Linked DNA regions of Arabidopsis thaliana. The protein of the gene in region 1 purifies or fractionates together with the protein of each later gene. This does not show direct contact. Each region holds a gene or a part of one and is shown in the gene's direction. Other genes may lie near its edges.

Region 1 (5,912 bases):
GTGGAGAGTGATGATCGGAGGAGCCACGAGCGAGCATAAGGAGGCAAAGAGCGAGATACTCTTCTTCAGAAGGAGGAGGGTTTGGTTGATCTATACGGTGACGTTTTGTACGTTTTCTTTTGGTCCATGATTCGAGGTTTTCGGGCTCGGTTTCGTCGAGGCAACGGAGGAAAGGAGGAGGAGCGGTGGTTGTGGTGGTGGAGGTGGGAGAATTGAGAGTGTCGAGAGCCATATGGTGGTGATCTTTGATTAGAAGATGATTGAGAATTGAGAGAGATGATTATAAAAAAAAGAAAAAAAAAGAGAAAGAGAGAGTGAAGTGAGCTGGTGAGGGAGTGAGATGAGATGTGAGCACGTCTTTGTTTTAATTTTTTTTGGGTGATTAAGAGTGGGAACGTGGGCTCTAAGTGATCAAGTGGTGCTTCTTCTCTTATTTCTCCATATCCATTAATATCTCATCCTATTTTCATCTTTTATATATTTTTCTTTAACATAAATTTATTTATATAATTGAACTAAATTCTTTCCAAATTTCCAATATATCAAAAATGAACGAAAAAAGAATATTAGAGTTTGATGCAGTCGATGTAGAATCAATGAAATAGAGATGAATTTTGAATGATCAATAATGATAAATTTGTGAAAATATTATAAAAAAATAAAGTAAATCAAAGAAAAACTATCTTTTCAGTGGCACCTTGTCCAATAATGCGTAATCTAAGAATGCCTATTTTAAAAATTATGTGTTGTGGGGGAAGTCATGTAACTATAAATGTATTAGAGTCTAACATCAAACTTTATTGGAAAGCCGAAAAAAGTAACACATTCACAAAGATGGAAAACTAAAGTACTTATCAAAGTTGTGCTAATTTTGTCGATAGGTAGCAGTCCAAATCATGAGCTGATCAGCTTATTCAATATCTTCTTCTTCCTCTTTTTTTCTATTGGCAACAATTTATTATCCGAATTGTCAATTTCAATACACTTTATTCAAAAATAAACATATATCCACACATAATTTTACATTAGACCTTTTTTTTTTGGTTATAATAATGATTGTAAAAGTAAAAGGAACTTTTACATTTGTAGTGTAGTCTATAGTATTAATGTATTATTATTATATTGAGAGGATAATTTAGTTTACTATTAAAAGCAAGAAACTAAAAAAACAACAAGGCATAAAATGCGACAGGTGTTGATGAAGATTTGAGTTGCCATATCTTCGGAGTTAGTTTAAAGGTTAGGCCAGGTTAGCGAATCTTTTCATGGCGTTGGGTCATAACTGAGTTGTCAATTTTTCATTGGTTGGAAGCAGGTTAGATTCTTTCGTTGGGGACACGTGGTTAGTTATGTATGGTGGAAATGGTACGATTTGGTGGAGACTTAAAAAAGACGGTACGAGACACTTTCTTAAGGCTCAGGCGACATGGTTGTGAGTGACACCACCCACTTCATAAGCAACTAATTTTATTTATTTTCTTTTGTATTTTAGTTTACAACCATCAAGTTTAGGATCTCATAGTTTAGTTGCTTAAAAAAACTTCGTCTTATATACTTGACATTACTTGCTTATTTATTTCCTTCAAGTTTTTATATACAGATCATGATTTATTATAGATTTTTATAAGAAAAACAAAATCTGAGGAGATTAAGAGATGATATATGAATAATGGAGGAATTTAGGTCCTATATACAAGAAGTTAGTTAAGTTTTCTTTGCACAACAAAATTAAAACTCAAAGTCAAATGAGCTTATTAAGATAGAAATAAACTAACAACTTGCATAGCTCATGAAGAGCTTTATTGTGCAAAGAAAGTAAAAAAAAAAAGGACTTTAGATTGTCACCAAGATTAGTAATACTTTGATTCAATCATAAAATAGGGAAGAAGGAGAGCTGCCTCTTTAACAACTCTCTTGGTTATATATCTTAAGAGTCATTACACATCCTTATATGAAAACATAATCTTGATTGCAAAACCCTACTTACATAGGCTTTCAGAGTTTAGACTAGTAATGGTACTATTGGGCTTTGTAGCTTGCTTTAATAATAATAGCATAGAGCATAATAACGAGCAATGTTATTCATCTTTGAAGTTTTATTTGTCTTGCATCATAAAATACGTTGACATATGCCTAGCAATCTTTTATAAAATATTGAAAATATATTCCCAAACATATAAAATCCTAAATTCAAAAGAGCAACGTACATGTGAGCAAAGTATCGAGTTGTTATGTAGATTCGAAAAACATAGTTTATATCATTAATGAATACACAAACTATTCCATCAATCATGCTTCAGTATTTATTCAATCATCTCATCTTTTTGTTGGGGGCACAATTCAATCATCTCATCAAATAATATTTCACGGCTTCATAATCTGCATCGAGAACTTCCAAATCCACATTAAAACTAACCATAAGACACAAAGAAAATGGAAATAACGCATAATCAAGAATAATTAGTACAAAGTGAAATAACCACGTTTGTTGTTAAAGACTTATCGATTTAAATAATGTAAGCTTAATGGACTCCTGACATTCCAAGCGTAATGTTCTTTTACAAAGTAAAAAAAAAAAATTAAAAGAAGAAATGGCTTCGCCCGGGTTCGAACCGGAGACCTTCAGTGTGTTAGACTGACGTGATAACCAACTACACCACGAAACCTTTTGTTGTTACACGTCCGTTAATCATTGATTTTAACTATTATTGACTTGGACAATTTTACTGCCGTCACTATCTCTATTTGGTTTCCTCTCTCTCAAATTCTCCGATCACCATGAGTAAGGGTCCGGGACTATTCGCCGACATCGGAAAATATGCGAAAGGTATGATAATCTTCCCTTCCTTCTTCATCTCCATTAGTTTTGATGTCAACTTTCGAGTTTTCTCGATGTAGTTGTATTAATGTGATCATTGGAGGTCGAGAGAGAGTGTGATTGATGAATCCTGGTGTTTTCGTAAGCTCAATTTTGTGTTTTTCCCTTTTTGTGTTAGATCTGTTGACGAGAGATTACAGTACCGATCAGAAATTCAGTATCTCCACTAACAGTGTCTCCGGCGTCGTAAGTATCTAATCTCGTTTCTAGCTTTTTTATAATCTGTGAATCATATGATGTGTTCTTCGCAGTCTAGTAGATTTTGTTTCACATTGATGAATTTGTAGCAAATGTTTTGCTTAACAAGTACTATTTTAGGTTCTTCTTCTTCTTCTATCATGTATTTCCTCAAGAGTAGTATCTTCTTGCTGGTTATAGATTTGATCTATACTCTAGCTGGGGAGTGAATCATTGGAAATTGACAACGCATTTGAGTGAAGTTAAAGTCAATTTTGATATACCTGTGATTTTGGAGGCAAAAACCTCCTCTTGATGGATTCTACTGCCTAAGCATTGTGCAATATCTTCTGTGACTTGGGTAATCGGCATGTACTTGTGTTCTTTGTTAAGATTATCTCTGTATTGGAGTTAGCATAACAGGCTGATGAACAATGTAGATGATATTGCTAGCTAATAACATGTATCATGGTAATATACATTTGTCGCTTTAAACCACAAGGATACTTGAGAATATGAGCTACTTATAGGTTGCTTTGTTTATTTTGCCTGGCAACGCTTAAAATTTCTGCATCCATTGACGCTATGTGTTCTGTTATTTTATCGTAGGCTCTTACTTCCACTGCTCTCAAGAATGGAGTACTACATGCTGCTAATGTTGCCACACAATACAAGTACAGAAACACTTTCTTCGATGTCAAGATCGATACTGATTTCAATGTTAAGTCTCTTGTTTATCCAATGAATAAATTTGTCTCAATTGATCACAATACGCTAAGTTTGTGCCTCTTTTTTTTTTTCACTTGATCAGATCCTGACAACCATCACATCACTGAGATCCTCCCATCGACAAAAGCCATTGCTTCCTTCAAAGTGCCTGATTACAACTCTAGCAAGGTTATGCATTTCAGAATTCTTTAAGCTAGTTATATATACACATATAATGACTTTTTCAGCCAAATGAATTTAAACTCAACTATGATTTACAGCTGGAAGTCCAATATTTCCATGATCACGCAACAGTTACAGCCGCTGCAGCCTTACAATAAAACCCTCTAATTGATGTAACTGCTGCTCTTGGCTCACCAACTATCTCATTTGGTGCTGAAGCTGGGTATGACACCACATCTCGAACTTTCACAAAGTACAACGTCGGAGTCAGTGTCACAAAGCCAGATCAATGTGTCTCCATAATATTGTAAGATAAAGAAGCTCCTACTAATCAAAGTTCTATCGAGCTGTTCTTAATATATTCTGAATCTTTTCTTGGAAAATCTCAGGGGAGATAAAGGAGATTCGATCAAAGCCTCTTATGTATATTACCTAGATGAGTCGACGAGAAGCGCAACAGTTGGAGAGGTTATCAGGAAAATCTCAACTAATGAGACAACAGTAACTGTTGGTGGATTGTATGCGGTTGATCACTTAACGAATGTGAAAGCTAAGCTGAACAGTAACGGTAAGTTTGGAGCTCTTCTGCAACACGAGGGCCTTCCAAAATCGATAGTGACAATCTCAGGTGAGATTGATACCAAGACATTAGACAAGTACCCAAGGTTAGGTCTCTCGCTTTCCCTTAAACCTTGAAGAGCTACACATACCAATGGAAGTTAGGTTTAACAATGGAGACTACCCTTTCTGTCTCCTATGACATTGTTTAGAGTTGAGTTGGTTATTGAATAATGAATCCCTCGGCTAATCTCCTTATTTCTGATAATTCTTTTTCGGATTTGTTTCTTTTGGGGCTCACGCTTAATAGGAACAGTTATATCGCTCTTTTCTGAGAGTTTTTTTTTATTGTTTTGTTAAGAGAAACAAACCTTATGTGAAACTAGAATCAATCAAAGACTCAAGTTGGAAAAGAATCAGAGATAGGTCTTCTACACATGTACATCAAATGTGAAAACTGTTCAGTCGGATAATTGCATTTGAGATATGTTTTTTTAGTTCTATCTTTTTTCTCGAGGAAACGACTATTTTTTAAGGTAATGAGAAAGAATCAGTTTCATAGAAATGAAATGATTTGCTGTTAATCAGAGTGGCAATTCTTTTAAATCCACAGTAATGCTTATGCCAAACAAAAAATTACAATTGAAAACCACCAAGTTCGAACTCAACCTATACCACAAACGTCTTAGACAACACAAAATTGCAGAGATAAGTGTGAAGAGACGAAAGGATTGGTCTGATAAATTGATATGTCGTTTAAAGACACAAACTCGTCATTCCAATATGTTCAAAAATGAAAACCACTGTCGAAAAATGGAACCCCCACTATCAAACGAAATAACCTAAACCAAGAACACTACTCTAGAGAATCATTTCAACTAAGTCACCACATAAATGACCAATATCATCAATTCTACTGCAATAGACTGATAAACGCAAGACTCCTATGTCAAATCAGGAGTTCAACACCAATCTCAACACACATCCAACACATAATCAAAAGCTAAACCAAACAAACACATCATTATAAAGAATGAGACAAAGAGATAAACTTCCATAACCAAACTTCAAATACTCAAAATCAAAACATAAGTTCTCATGTCTAGCACCATAAAGATCCACTGACAACATTCCAAAATATCCAAAACTTGAAAATTAAAAAGCGATTGAAGATAACTCTAAAAGATAAAACCTTTCAAGAAGATTTCTTCTTCCTTCTTACTTAATCAACGTTCTGCATAACATCCTCAGACGTAAACTTAGTACCCTTCTCCTTATCAGCAGCAGCACGTCCCTTAGCCTTCCTCTCCAAAAGCGATTTCCTATCTTTATCAAGACGAAGCTTCGTTATCACAACTTTCGACGGCTGAATCCCAACGTTCACGGTTGTTCCATTCACCTTCTCCCT
Region 2 (5,934 bases), about 13 Mb from region 1:
GAATGTTGCAGTCATTCTGCTGAAATGCAAGGGAGCTTAGATGAGGGAAATACATATCGAAGACCTAAGACTTGGCTTGAACCAGTATTCGTTTTCAAAGATGGAATATTGGTTCCGGTGAGTACTGAAGATGACCGCTCTTTGCATTGTAAATATGATAGTTTCTGCCTTGGTTCTCTCATAGAGTTAATTGCAACTGAGATGAAGCCTTTTTGATTGATTCATCTGTAAACTTTTTACTCAAATCAGCTGGTGTCTCTGCCATTGATTTGCAGTTACAAGACTAGTAAAATATTTTAATTCAGATATGAAAAAATCAGCAGTTTCTTGGCTCAAACTCCTGTTTCTTCAAGCTGCGTAGTGCGTACTAATATCTTTCTCGTGAGATTATTTGTGATGTGATTAGCATTCGTTTCTCAGCATCGTCAACAAATCATCAGGTACGCAGCTAAATTGACTGATTAGCCACATCCCACATGTCACCTAATAAAGATTTACGGCTGATGAACATAATTAATGTTATATGCAATGTCATACTATAATTGGAGAACAATGTAGGTTCAGAGCTCGAGATTTAATGCTTTTACATTCACATGTATTTTAATATTACCAATATCTTTTGTATTTATTAGATTACTATAATTCTTAGCTGTCGCGTAGGAGGCGATGGATAAGAAATAATATTAATATATAACAAAAACTGTATGTATTATTTTATATGATATAGAACCGAATTGTTTACATATTAAGTTTAAGAATCACATGGCATGTTGACTGTCATGACAGGGCTTATTATGCCGTTTCTTAGCAATCATAACTTTTGTTGAAAAACCTTATTTTTCTTAGTTGTTGCCAGAAATCCTTTTGATTTGTTATCTAATTTTATTTTAATTATCCACTTAGAACACTTAATTATTGGTTTTTCTTTTCCAAAACCTATTCAGCTAATACGTCTCTGCAATCTCCTAAATATACAAAAAGATTACTGAAATTAAAAAACTTGTGGCGCCAATATTTTTCCCTAGAAGTTAAAATATTATTGACTCCAAAATTCAGAACAATTGTAAAAGAAAGAATCTTTCAAATTCGGAATAAGTCAATTTATTTCCATTTTTTGTTTTCACTCAAAAAATTTCATCTTTTATTTATGTACAAAAACATTGACTCCACATAAAACAATAAAAACAATATTTTTAGAAAATAAGTGCTGAATGGTTGCCCACATGGGCACCTCCTAATAAGTCCCCAGAATCTATGCTTCAAATACAAAACCGAACAAAAGAAGAAGAAGAAGAAACAAGAACACAAACTTATCTCTTTATGTTATCTTTTGTCTGAATTAAAAAAAAAATGGATTCTACTTCGAATGATCATCAAGAGTTGGAACAATTCGAAGCCATTGATGATCTCCTCGAAGATTTCTGGTTCTTTGATAACTTACTTGACAGAAGATCAAGGATCTTGAGGTACTGTCATTCAGATCCTTACCCTTTTACTTCTTCTTCTTCTTCAACTTGTCCCAAACCCGAATTACCGAAAATTGGAGATTCGGATTCGGAGATTAAGCTTCTAGAAGCTTCTACTGGGGGAGACTTTGTTCCGCCGCCGTGTATAGAGAAAAAAGAAGGCGGAGGCGAGCCTGAGAAGATAAATAAGGTGATGAGAAGGCAGTTCTCTGAGAAGACTAGGGTTCAAGAACGAAGAACTTACTTGCAAAAGAAGGAACCTGTAGTTCGAGAGAAGGGAATTAAAGAAGGTTCGAGGAAGAAGAACAGAACAAGAATTAGTTGTAGTAACAATAATAGTGTCCAGAGTTGCTCGATGGGAGGGAGTTTGCAGAGAACTCAGACTTTGCCTAGTTACTTAGGAAGAGAAGACGATGTAAATGAGTTTCAAGATCAAGAGATTGATGATTCAAGAATGGGATTTTTGATCCGTGAAGCCATCGCTAACTCTTCTTCTTCTTCTTCTTCTGGATTTACTCCAACGAAACAGAACATTCCAAAGGTGATGATCTCTCTTTGTTTACATTAGTCTTTTCAATTCTTGGATGATTTGATTGAATCATTGCTGTTGTTGAGACTCTGAATTTGACCAGAAAGTTTTTAAAACTTTGTATAGGTTTCATGCATTCCAAGGCATAGACCACCTAGAAACTCAAGATCAGAAGACGCTATTCAAGAATTGGTCGTCAAATCACAAAAAAGCCCAAACCGCAAAACGCTGCGTAAAACGTTAAGCAGCATCGAGACGAAAGATATTCAAATGTTGAAGGATTTTCACATTGAAACAGAGAAGAAGCAAGAAGAAGACGAAGAAAAACAGAGGAAGGTCCCATGCACCACCACTGGGAAAAACCGGTCTACAGCGGTGGTGGGACAGCCGATTCCGGTTTGGGTTCCAAAGGATTCGAGAAAAGACATGAAAGCTCAGATAAAGTTTTGGGCTCGAACCGTCGCAAGTAATGTTCGACAAGAATGCTGATATCATTCACTTTCATTAGCAAACAAATTGCTTCTACGTATAAACAAACACTCATTTCATATTCTTTGGTTCCCTTTATGTTCAAAAACATTCATCTATCATTTCACCTACAATAATAAGGAAAAATAACAATCATAATGATGAGTTTTTTTATTCGACGGAGAAACCGAACTCAAGTAATATTTTACATGAAGAAGAATGCGATAAACAATCAAGTGAAACTATATAAAATGTGGTACTTACTATTTCTGTAGTATAATGGTAACTTGGGAAGCCTCTAATTCGCGGAGAGTGTCTACGAAGAAGAGACCCTCTAAACGATAGAGAGGCTTTAGAGTGAGGATATTTGAAGAAGACATTAATGGTGAGATAAAAATCTTTCGACGGCTAAGAAAATGTTAGTGTTGCAGAGCCACCAATGTCTCTTCTCTCTCCCTTACCGTCTCCGTCCAACGCGTCTTATCTCTCCAATCCATTCGCTCTCTTCCTTTACCAGGATCCGTCCCGGTATAATCCGATTATCCGCCGTAAAAGAAATCGCCGATGTGGCGGAGGTGGAAGAAGATGGTCCAATTGAGCTTCCTACGTCGTCCACGTCTCCGTTTTCGTCTACTAACTCCATTTTCGCCACTTCCGATGATCCTACTCCTCTCCAATTGGCCACCAGTGTGCTTCTTACCGGTGCCATCACTGTCTTCCTCATCCGCTCCGTTCGACGGCGCGCTAAACGCGCCAAAGAGCTGGTAATATCTCGTTACTTAGACCCTAGACATTCTTAAGGAACAAATAACCACCGAATTTGGTCTAAATCGAATTTAACCAATGGTTTTGATCTGTTACACTTGAATTTGGGAGAATTGTGTTTGAAATTTGGGAAGGAATATGAGTGATTTGGTGTGGAATTGTAGACATTTAGATCTACTGGAGCTAAGAAATCGTTGAAAGAAGAAGCAATGGATAATCTAAAAGCGTTAAGTTCAACTCCGATAGAAGGTGGTAATTCAACTCCATCGGCGGCTCAGGCGTTTCTTGGTGCGATAGCCGCAGGAGTCATTGCTCTCATTCTTTACAAATTCACTGTTACAGTTGAATCAGGACTCAATCGTCAGACTATCTCTGATAACTTCTCGGTTCGTTTCTTCTCTCTCTCTTTTTGATCATCCATTGCTTGTGTCAAAGTTGCTGTTTCTGTCTAACTTGCTTTGGTAAAGTAACAGTACCTTGTGTTCCAAGTATCATCATGGTCTCAATAACTGTAAATGCCCATAATTGAGAAATAGCTATATTCATTATGGAGAGGACCCATTCTTGTCCATGATTTCTGAATTCATTGTGCAACTAGCTTAAGTTCATTATGCAAAGGTTCCATTCTTATCGAAACACGAAGCTGTCTAAAGATTCCCAGTTTATTCCTTCTTTTGCTAGCCCTCTTGATCATTGCTGTTTTTAAGAAGAGTCTGCCTATTCCACAGTTTCTGAATTTTATGTACTTCTATTTATTGCAGGTTAGGCAAATCACGGTAACCGTAAGGTACATTTAAGCTTTACCACTTTTCTATGTACTCATCACAAGCCATTCTCGCAAATTCTTAAGACTAAACTCTTCATTTTGATCCGCAGGACTATCATCAACGGTATATGCTATCTAGCAACATTTGTTTTCGGTCTCAACGCGTTCGGACTTCTCCTTTACTCTGGTCAATTAGCCTTCAATGAAGATTCTGCTGAAGAAAACATGAAGGCCACAACACAACCTGGAGACTCATCATCAGGTGACAACAGTGAAGTAAATAAAAGCAATGAGGATCAAAGTTCAGGTGATTGATTAGTCCGGTCTTTACTATGAAACATGTATTAATAATATCATATTCATGTAGCCAACTATGCATAAAATTGTTTTCTTCTTTTCAATTTATTGTAACTATCTATCTGTTTGTTGGGAAGCGTTAGTTGTTGTTAGTTTCGATGGGACTTCATCGACCAGAGAGTGAGACATTAGACTAACGGACAAAAAAAACGGATACAGATTTTCATGAAAAAAACATTGGCACAGTGATAGAAAATGAATTATGACTAACAAAACAAATTTACAAACAAGGACAAATAGTATTCTGAAATTACTATTACACCCAAATAGTTTCCTTTATTCCCACTCACGTCTCCTTCTTCTAGAACCCTACTCCGGCGCCGCCGACACCGACGGTTGCCGGAGGGTGTGGCTCAAGCTTCCTATTTTTCCAGAAACAAGCTTCCGGCGCTAGCTTCGACGCTGACTTCCTCGGTTCCGATTTGCAACGTGGCAGCACTGGTGGCTGTACCTTATTAGCTCCGGCTACCCTCTGTTCCCCAACCGCCGCAGCTGCCGTTATTATCGGTGGAGCTGCTGGGTATGAACACGATGACCGTGGCGGCTGTAGGTGAAGTGGTGGTCTATCGATTGACCGCCGGCGAGAGGATGCGTTGGAATCAACGGCTGTGACGATTCGCTTCTTGGGTTGATGATGATGATGATTGTCTCCGACGGCTTCTGGTGGTATCTTCTTCGCCGGAGGTCTTCCTGGTAAACATCTGACGAAATCTGTACTGCAAACCCAAGTCTCCTTAGAGACTTCCATTGAGAGCTTTGGTTCACACATCATAAGCAGCAAACAATCCGGTAACACCTTATACGGCGTCGCCGTCGTCTTCTCTTTCTCCGTTGTTTCCTCTTGTAGACTTCTTCTCATCACCACTTCCGGACTCGGGTCGGGTTCCCGGTTTCCTTGTTCGGATCTTTCCTCATTTTGAGGTATACAATCAGGAACAACCTCTTTGCTTTCTTCTACCTCCTCCGTCTCAGCCACCGCCACAACCGCTAATTCTTCCATCTCAGCAAGTTTCTCCTCTTCTTCTATAGCGTTTCTGATTTCGTCTTCAATTTTTTTCATGATCGTAGCTTCTATTTCTTCCTCAAACGAATCCAGAATTTTCGAAGCTTCTTGTTCTTCTTCAACAATCGAATCTTCCACAACTTTGACTCTTTCTTCTTCCTCTGTAGCTGGATTTGAAGGCAAAGGAGCTTCTGCTTCTGCTTCTGCTTCTGCTTCTGCAACTGCTACTGAAACTTCTTCTGTTTCCACAGTAGTCTCACCAGAGATCCATTTCTCACACAAGTCGATCCGTTTCTTATCTTCAATTTCCAGCTCAAACCTTCTTCTTCTCTCATCTTCTTCCTCCTCTGTGTATACGCCGTCGTTTAACGACAACTGTCTTTCACGAACCCGGTTAGCTAACGCCGCAACCTTAACCGGATCAGATCTACACCGCATCAACAACAAAGCATTCTTCGGCGGAGAACAAATACTCATCCGTCCAACTTCTTCTCCTCTCTCTTTCTTCTCCGTCTTCATCTCTATCTCACTTAAATCAAGCCCCTCGAAAACATGTCTCCGACGACTCCTCCGCCTATCC
Region 3 (9,191 bases), on another chromosome or scaffold:
TTCACATATAAAATTTGGACAAAAACTACTGGTAAGTAACCTCTTTAAAACGCTATACATACGAGTGGCACAAAATTGTAAATCATTACAAAAGAAAGTAATAATACTGAGTAAAATATTCTTTAAATATAAATGTTTGAATTGGTCCTATATATGAAGTCAAAAACAATTCATATTAAAAAGAAAAAGCAGACTTATGCATGTGATCCACAGCAAGGACAACACATGCCCAAATGGGTTTCTTTAAGTACGTGTGCTTTATATAGTTGCGTTATATACCCTAAAAAGAAAAAAGAAGGAAAATGGTGAATGGTGATCATAATTACGACGTCGAAAGAAATACGATGAAGGTACACGCTATTACTTATAGAGTTATCGTTTTAAAATTGACGAAACGTTATGATCGTGTAAACATGGGATTTTAAAAATCATGAGAAAACAAAATCCACAAACGAAACACGACATCATATATATATTCTAAATATGTAGTATTGATATGTGATCAAAACATTGTTAGGTTAAACTTGAAAAGGAAAAAAAGTTGCTGTTAAAAGAAGTTGCTAAGACGTATGGGAAATTAGTAATGTTGACAAGAGAGGTATGGATGTTGAAATGTTTATGATGATATCTAACTTATGGCTGTCTTCTTTAATGAGTCAAATGGCTGATGCATTTTACGGGAAGTAGTTGAAGCAACCCCTTATACCATTATTGCACATTATTATTATTTCCCTCTCTCTTTTTTGTATTGTTTTTAAATAAAAAAAAACAATTTCAGATCGGTTAGGTCCTTTTGGACCATGAATTTTGTAGGCCATAAAAAAATAAAAAATAGAAGTCCAAAACAAATGAAGCAGTGAATAAACTTTACCAAAATAAGATCCAAACACGTACGTGCATGCTTGAATTTGTTCATAAATGACTGAAGATTTTTCATTTGATTGACTAAATATTGTTTTTACTTCTTTGCCTTTTTTTCTTTTATAGGTTTTGCCAAGAAACCAAAAGCATAGGTAATGAACATGGAAATCCGAACCATCTTCATCTTATATGATACATACTCATTTAGCAAAGAAAAATAATTAAAGGATTTAGTTTTTGGTTGTCACAAAAAAGCTTTGTTTCAAGAACTCTGTCATTGCGCTTATATCAGGAAAGAAACTTGAACAAAAAAAAAGAGCTTTGTTTCAAGAAGAAGGGTCTATACTCTATAGTCTATATATAGTGCAACAGAAAATGATCACGTGAGGTTGTAGATATAAGAGAAGATTATCGAACCAATCTTCTAAGACAATTTCAGACTTAATAGTTAATACTAGTAGTTTTCTTATATATACAACCAAAAAGAAACGGTTTAAGAAGTGAAATATAAAAAAACTATCCAATCTTATCCAACGAGTCATGGTTCTAAACTCCCGTTGACTTACATACCATAACCACAGTCAACCCTAAGATAAAGATGGCTAAAATATGAAATAATTGTGGCCCTTCTTATTATTATATCAAATATAAATTCACAAAAATTCAATGGATGAGGATGATAGAACTGGGTTTAACATGGGCTTCCAACCTAAAACCAATTGACAATAGGTGGAGTGGTCCGAACCTTCTATATATCACTTGATAATTCCTCCAATTTTTGATGTGGAACTTTCTTTCATTAACAAAGGATACAAAAGAAAACCTCTCATAAGCGACAATATTAAATAGGATTTAGTTATTTAGCAAAAAAAGTAGAACTTTAGTTATAGTATTTTCATAACAATTTTCTTATTATTTAACCGCTTGTTACCAATCATAACAAAAACAAAAACGTGATGGATAGTTATAAGATGATGAAATTGAAGAACTCTGAAAGAGAGGTTCATGCTTCGACACACAAATCTCGTCAAGTTTTGTGACTTCGTCTAGAAACGAAGATTACCTTATAATCTAGCTTTTTATTCTAATTTTTTTTGCATTCATGGTTATAAATGGAAGGGATTTGATGAAATTAGATGGGATTGGAGATGGAGAAGGATGGAGGCACCTGAAGAGAGAAGAACAATTGTTAAAACTATAAGAAATTAAAGAATAAAAAGATAAAAGAGTATCATGAAGAGTGAAGAAGAAACAATGGTCATAAAACTATATTTGCGATTATTTATGCAACTTTATATATTTTTTATTTTTTTTAATCTTTTAATTTATTTTATATTACTATTGTAATGAGATTTTACTTATAACAAAAAAAAATATTTTTACTATTCGACTTCTTGTTACAACTTAACCATTTTCATTATGACCAAAAACACACTTTCACAAAAACTTTGAACAATTTTCATTTCTTTTTGTTACAAACCCCTCCAAAACCAATCTTAAAACAGTTTTCATTTACATAAACCTTGAGATTAAATCACATTAAAAATCCCAAATCATATGGGTTTAAACTTAAACAGAATCTTATAAAAATTCGAAAGCCCAATATGTTTTGTTTTCCCAACAATAAAAATAGATTGGAACAGAAAGGTTGTGGGAGGCACACATTACACACCAAAGCAGTGTTTTCTTTCTCCTGAAAAGATTTTTCAAGCTCTCTCTTTCTCTCAAAGGTAAATGCTTCTCTGATTTCGCCATTTTTGCTTACTCGATTCAAAAGACATGTCGCCGGCAGCTACGGAGACGGAGCGATGGTGCGTTGTTACCGGCGGTAGAGGATTCGCGGCGAGGCATCTTGTTGAAATGCTCGTACGCTACGAAATGTTTTGCGTCCGTATCGCCGATTTAGCTCCGGCGATAATGCTTGATCCTCAGGAAGGGAACGGAGTTCTCGACGAAGGATTAAGATCTGGTCGTGTTCAATATATCTCCGCTGATCTTCGAGATAAATCTCAAGTCGTTAAAGGTTCTTAATCACAAAGTCATTGATTCTTAGTGGACTTTGAGATCTATGCATCTTTGTAATTACTTGTTCCCATTAGCTTTTCAGGGAGCGGAGGTGGTGTTTCATATGGCAGCTCCAGATTCTTCTATTAACAATCATCAGCTTCAGTATTCGGTGAATGTTCAAGGTTAATAGAAACTTCAATTTTTGCACATTTCGTTTCTGTCAAACTGATGAATTCAGTTAGTTCTTGTGTTTATGGGATTTTTAATGTACAGGGACACAAAATGTGATTGATGCTTGTGTTGATGTTGGAGTAAAGAGGCTTATTTACACTAGCTCTCCTAGTGTTGTGTTTGATGGTGTTCATGGTATTTTGAACGGTACTGAATCAATGGCTTACCCAATTAAGGTATTAATTACGCTTTTGGTGTGAACTTTGAATTTGATGTTTTGTCTTTCTATTGTTGTACAGAACTATGGCTTTGAGATGATTCTTTGCTTGTTTTGGAGTTTGGTTACTAATATTTTCTTCATTCTATTCAGCACAATGACTCATATTCAGCAACTAAAGCTGAAGGAGAAGAGTTGATCATGAAGGCTAATGGTAGAAATGGACTACTCACTTGTTGCATACGTCCAAGCAGTATTTTTGGTCCCGGTGATAGATTATTGGTTCCGTCGCTTGTTGCTGCTGCTAGGGCTGGGAAATCTAAGGTTGGATTGTTTTCTTTGTTTACCGTTTTGCTCCTCTATGTGCTGTCTGCCTTCCTTTTTACCTTTTTTACCTTTCCTCTTCTCTCTTCTCTTGATACTTTTGTTACTCTCACGAAGGTAGCTGCCCTTTATTGACATTATTATCTAAACGTGTTTGAAAGTCATGACCATGCTGTGCATTTGGTAGATAGTTCTGTACTATGAAGTTTTTCTCAGAAGTTATGATTAACTCTTTGGAAACACACAGATTGATTCACAGGGAATGGAGAATTTTTTTTTACCATTAAAGCCATAACTGTGAAATCGTTTGGTGACAGTAGAGCGGAGAGAGAATAATTTATGTTTGTTTTACGCAAAATTTGGGGTATTGACTTCGCAAAGTTTCTAAATTTGAAGCTTTAAGCTACAAATGTAGAGGACTGAACTTTCTATATGTCTGGACACCATTAGGATGTATGATTTTCTTTGGAAACCTAAGCTTGGTGGCATCGATGAAATGGCCTTAAAAGTAGCCTAACACGAGATACAAAGAATGATGTGGAAAGCAACATTCATATGAGTACTTGAAAAATGATTTGAGGGAGGGTTCCTGGTTGCGCGGTGCGATATTCCTTCCTAATTAAGATTTATGGCTTTGCTAGTAGGAATGTATTTAGTCTTTTATCTTGCTGCTAGTTAAGAGGTGCTTTAGATGATCATGGATCTCTCCAAAATGAATTTAATAGGTTAAGATGCATTGTTTGCTTGGATTTCTTCTTTGACATAAAATCTTTCATTATTTTTATTTTTGATACGACTGTTTTCTGCTTCTTTACTGTCCAGTTTATTATTGGTGATGGGAATAATCTCTATGATTTCACTTACGTTGAGAATGTTGCTCATGCCCATGTTTGTGCTGAGCGTGCTCTAGCTTCAGGAGGAGATGTTTCTACAAAAGCTGCAGGACAGGTATTTGCTTTCAGTTGATTCCATGCCGTAGTTTTCTAAGGTGGAGTTTGGTCTCAGTTTCACATCATTATATTTGTGGTCTCCATAGTTTTCTAGCTGTAAATGTTTGGAATGAAATGCTGTCATGGTCAACCAGTATTTTTGTGTACAGCTGTTAATGCATACCTAAAGCATAAACGTTTCAGGCATACCATGAAAACTGAGATAAAAACTGTGTCTACTCAAACATTATGTGAACTTCAAAGAGCTTGCTGGTTTTTTCGTTCGAGATTATTTTTCTTGTCTGTTGTGTTTAGCTGAGATAGATCCGTTTGAGATGTTTGCCAAATTATCTATTGATGATAACATTGTTTACTGCCGTATTTGAATAAAGTTAAATCCCTTGAATAAAATTTAGTTAAGGCGTCCAGTGAGATGGTAGTTTATTTATGATGTTGTAGGAAAATCCTAGTTGTAGGCTAACCTGACATTTAGTGGATTTACAGGCATATTTCATTACCAACATGGAGCCAATTAAATTTTGGGAATTTATGTCACAGCTCCTTGATGGACTTGGTTACGAGAGGTATTATGTTTTTCCCTTTTTTTGTTTGGGTTTGCAACTAGTGTCATGTATACTTGTAAGATCTTGCATACACAAAAAGGGGAAAGACACGTCTTAGTTTCATTTTATTTATGTTCTTGCATGGGAATTGAGTTGAGCTTGACTTGACGTTCTATCCGGAAGTAGCATATAATTAAGTTTCCTTCAAAATAATTGGGTATATAGTATATACAATGATTTCTGCTTACAGTTTTGTATTTTTGTTCTGCTTACATTTTTATAAGGTTACATTTCTGCTTGCAATTTTATTGTGCATACTTCATAGTAATTGGGCATATACAATACTTTCTGATTACATTTTTGTGCCTGACAAGTTTTCTGATTTCATGTAATCCATTTTCTTTGGGATATAGGTTTCTGACCTTGTCAAATTGGTTTTGACGGCTTCACTTATCTAAGAAGGAATGCATTGTACTTAACCCATACCTTTGACTGTTCTTCTTAATTTTAATATATTTTGCAGGCCAAGCATAAAGATCCCTGCGTTTATCATGATGCCGATTGCGCATCTGGTTGAACTGACATATAAAGTGTTGGGACCATATGGGATGACAGTACCACAACTAACACCTTCAAGAGTTAGGCTTCTCTCATGCAGCAGAACTTTCGATTCCACGAAAGCAAAGGATCGACTAGGCTATGCTCCTGTGGTCCCACTTCAGGTTATACAATATTTGATTTGAAAGAGAGAGATATTTGAAGCCTTTATTGTTCTTTATATATTGCATGCATGCCTTGATGATCCTGCAGGAAGGTATACGGAGGACGATAGACTCATTCTCTCACCTAACAGCTGGAAGTCAATCCAAAAGAGAGGGCCCATCCAAGGCTTCTAGGATTCTTGGAGGCGGAAAGGGTATGACCATATATTTCAATTAGCATGCTTGTCCTCTCAGCTGATCGTCTCTCACATGATAAGCACCCAATGTTTATTTTTAAAATTCACTGGATATTTTTCTTTTTATTAAAATCTTGAGTCAGCGTCAACATCTGCACGCTCTCCTGAGAATGATTGTGTTCAGTGGCTAGCTACCATATTAATGTGAAGAGGCATAGGATGTTAGTAGAACTAGACATATTTTCAAATCTACCCTGGTCTTGATTCACTTGTTCTGACATGATTTTGCAGTTGCTGATACACTTCTCTGGAAGGATTTAAAGCAGACTCTTATTGCCATATTCATTCTAATTAGTATCTATTATAACTTTGTTGCAACTGGGTCTACCGTCGTAACTGCTCTTTCGAAGGCTCTATTGGTAGCATCTGTATTTTTGTTCCTCCATGGCATTCTACCAGAGAAAATGTAAGATTCCTGAGATGCCAACTTTTGATAGATTTTCATTTATGTGCAATATGAACTACCTTAACCTAGTTCTCTAATAATGGAAACCAGAAGGTATATGCCAAACATTTTTGAAACACTGTGTATCGTACTCTTCAATCAGGAACAAGTAATATAAGCAATTGCTGTCTATTTCAGTTTACGAACAACTGAATATAGATGCTTATTTTGCAGATTTGGTTATACAGTTGAAAAGATTCCTGCATCGCAATTTCACCTCTCAAAAGACTCATCACATGACCTCTCATTGTCAGTGATCTCTTCATGGAACACCACTGTAAAAGCTTTAAGATCTCTTTGCCAGGGGAATGATTGGAGCTTCTTTTTCAAGGTATTTTTCCTTGAACTAGTTATTGCTGGCAAGTTCCAGTCGTACGATATCTTATCCCAACCTGAAACAGAAATAGGGACAAAATTCGATTGCTGAAGTTCTCTTTGGTAATAATATTGTAACACCGCTTTGGTGTTTTTAATGTCATAGGTGGTCTTCGTTTTGTTAGCATTGAGTTTGGCTGGAGCCATATCTCTTCACAGCATATTTGTTATAGGTACACACTCACTCTCTATCTAGTTTTACTACATGCCAACGCTACGGTTGTATGAATTATAGTTCTTCAACAATAACTGGTTTTGTTGTTCTGTTTTTGTTCAACAGGACTGCCCATTGCCTTCCTTGCTTTTCTCGTGTACGAAAAGAAAGAGCAAGAGATCGACTCAATAGTGGTGAGTTTTAAATCTTTCGCATGCAAGCACAAATCCGATGTGTATGAGAAATTGTTCGGAAGCAAGAAACATGACTAAAAACCCTTTTTTTGCCCAGCATTTGTAATTTTCTTTTGTTTCCAACGACCTCTAACTCTGGTTTGAGCTTTTTTCAAGTTTTATTATTTGTGAATCTCTTTTTTACTCATTTCTATTGGTCTTTGTTTACATGCTTGGAGAAAAATGGATGTTGAGAGATGCCCTATTAAGCCACAACTTTTGTCCTCTAACATGAAAGTAAGCATTGAAAAATCGAATGAATTTGTGAAAAAAAGAAAGGAGAGAAGAAAGATTCGCAAGGTTGATTCCTAAAGCACATGTCCTTAGTCCCGTGCCTTTGAATATAGAATCAATTGATAGATTATCAAACCACAAAACAACTCTAATATTGAATTTAATGACAAAATATTAGTAAAGACCAACTTTATGAAGTGGCAGCCTTTTTATCTACTTGTTGTAAGTCTATTTCTCGAATTTTCCTTTCCAAATATCCAAAATGTAATTAATGTAAATTGAGTTAACTATATTCCAATATCATTAAAATCATAGAGACGAATTTCATAACGAATAAAGAAAAAATTTTAAGCTTCAATTTTATTGTTAATATTTTGTTGTACACATGTTAAAGCGAATAATTTAGCATATGAAATTCTTACAGAACCACGTTATATTACATATGTAAACAACATATCTCCGAAGTAGTTCTTTTGAGTTTAATTTAAAGTTGTTAAAAAATAAAGATTATCTGAAAATAAATAATAATACAAAAAATTATAAAAATAAATAGAAATGTTTAACTGGATCCCATCCATCTAAAAACAGAAGCTTACAAATTAAAATTTGTATTATCACTCCACTTTTATTAAAAAGCCAAAATTACAAGACTTGTTATAATTACAAGAGTTTTGGTGTAAGTAATTAATAAAAAGAAGTCGGGTCGGGTCGGGTCAAGCCCAACTATTTTTGAATCACAAGAGTTATCTCTCAGTCTCACTAGTCACTTGCAAAGAAGCGTTGTGTGAGAGTTTTGAATAGAAAGAGTAGTTGTCTCTCATTCCCCAAATTTGGAATCACGCCGATAAAGCCAAAATTAGCCCCACGAAAAAGCTCCGACAACCAAAGTAACCATCTTTTTCCGAGGATTCATCACTTAAAGCACCATTTTGTCCACAATCACTCAACCCTAAAATCTTTTTCTCCTTTGAATCCTTTTCATGCTTCTTCTTACATTCCCCGATTTCTTTTTCCTCTGAGAAAGTGATTTCCTTTTGATTTTGATTCTTTTTTAGTCTTTCTGCAATGATTCCGTATTTTGAATTAAGGATTTATAAAAAAGCAGAGATTGGAGCTTGGTTTGTTGTCTATCATCAACTATCACAATGGGTGCTCTCAGAAGAAGAAATGTTGGTTTGATTGATTCAAAGGGTTGTTCTAAGTTGTTTCCTGTTTTACAATCTCCTCCTCTTACTACTACTTCAATGTCTCAGTCCAATGGTCCATTCTCTTCTCTTGTCATTTGTGTCACTGGTTTATCCAAAGGTAAAGACTTTGTTCCTTTTTCAATCTCTATTAGGCAGAAAGTTTGAATTTTTATGTTCCATCAATATTAAAGTTTTATTCTTCTAGACTTTCAGATTCTGTTGTTATAACTTTGGTTTTATGTTTGTAAATTTAAAGAATTTGTTCCTCTTCAATCTCCATTAGTCAGAACTCAGAAGTAGGATATTTATGTTAATCAATCTTTAGATTTCAGATGCTGTTGTGAATGTGATCTTGTTGTATTCATAACATTGGTTTTGTGTTGTGATATGTTAAATTGCTTTGTTTCTTTGCAGATGCAAGAAAACAAGTCAAGGAAGCGACAGAGAGACTCGGAGGCGAGTACACTCCTCATCTTCACCAGCGATGTACTCATTTGGTTGTTCAGATATCCTTTTTCTCATTTCTGTTGATC

What was found. The genes of interacting proteins can lie anywhere in the genome.
Region 2: the proteins of VDAC5 (region 1) and AT3G15110 fractionate together in Arabidopsis thaliana (co-fractionation; one large-scale study listed by BioGRID). This does not show direct contact.
Region 3: the proteins of VDAC5 (region 1) and 3BETAHSD/D2 fractionate together in Arabidopsis thaliana (co-fractionation; one large-scale study listed by BioGRID). This does not show direct contact.

What each region holds. Positions count from the first base shown.
Region 1 is NC_003074.8:18,504,566-18,510,477, reverse strand, and holds VDAC5 (voltage dependent anion channel 5), read left to right. Parts: upstream 1-2,778; coding exon 2,779-2,827; intron 2,828-2,996; coding exon 2,997-3,064; intron 3,065-3,664; coding exon 3,665-3,833; coding exon of another isoform or gene 3,834-3,862; exon of another isoform or gene 3,863-3,866; coding exon of another isoform or gene 3,867-3,952; intron 3,953-4,044; coding exon of another isoform or gene 4,045-4,114; exon of another isoform or gene 4,115-4,165; coding exon 4,166-4,253; exon of another isoform or gene 4,254-4,321; intron 4,322-4,335; coding exon 4,336-4,642; downstream 4,643-5,912. Other genes in the region: AT3G49930 (C2H2 and C2HC zinc fingers superfamily protein), read right to left, coding at 1-232; AT3G49910 (Translation protein SH3-like family protein), read right to left, coding at 5,727-5,912. UniProt on the Arabidopsis thaliana protein: Putative channel that allows diffusion of small hydrophilic molecules through membranes.
Region 2 is NC_003074.8:5,082,769-5,088,702, reverse strand, and holds AT3G15110 (uncharacterized protein), read left to right. Parts: upstream 1-2,843; 5' UTR 2,844-2,879; coding exon 2,880-3,227; intron 3,228-3,392; coding exon 3,393-3,614; intron 3,615-3,989; coding exon 3,990-4,015; intron 4,016-4,104; coding exon 4,105-4,309; 3' UTR 4,310-4,425; downstream 4,426-5,934. Other genes in the region: AT3G15120 (P-loop containing nucleoside triphosphate hydrolases superfamily protein), read left to right, coding at 1-216; AT3G15115 (serine/arginine repetitive matrix protein), read left to right, coding at 1,351-2,007, 2,122-2,484; AT3G15111 (uncharacterized protein), read right to left, coding at 2,727-2,843; HCF243 (Serine/Threonine-kinase pakA-like protein), read right to left, coding at 4,653-5,934.
Region 3 is NC_003071.7:11,175,597-11,184,787, forward strand, and holds 3BETAHSD/D2 (3beta-hydroxysteroid-dehydrogenase/decarboxylase), read left to right. Parts: upstream 1-2,467; 5' UTR 2,468-2,640; coding exon 2,641-2,884; intron 2,885-2,960; coding exon 2,961-3,050; intron 3,051-3,141; coding exon 3,142-3,275; intron 3,276-3,409; coding exon 3,410-3,580; intron 3,581-4,402; coding exon 4,403-4,528; intron 4,529-5,013; coding exon 5,014-5,093; intron 5,094-5,595; coding exon 5,596-5,794; intron 5,795-5,882; coding exon 5,883-5,988; intron 5,989-6,261; coding exon 6,262-6,436; intron 6,437-6,649; coding exon 6,650-6,806; intron 6,807-6,956; coding exon 6,957-7,023; intron 7,024-7,130; coding exon 7,131-7,276; 3' UTR 7,277-7,682; downstream 7,683-9,191. Other genes in the region: AT2G26270 (BRCT domain DNA repair protein), read left to right, coding at 8,617-8,776, 9,073-9,164. UniProt on the Arabidopsis thaliana protein: 3beta-hydroxysteroid-dehydrogenase/decarboxylase involved in sterol synthesis. Catalyzes the formation of 3-oxosteroids from 3beta-hydroxysteroids-4alpha-carboxylate.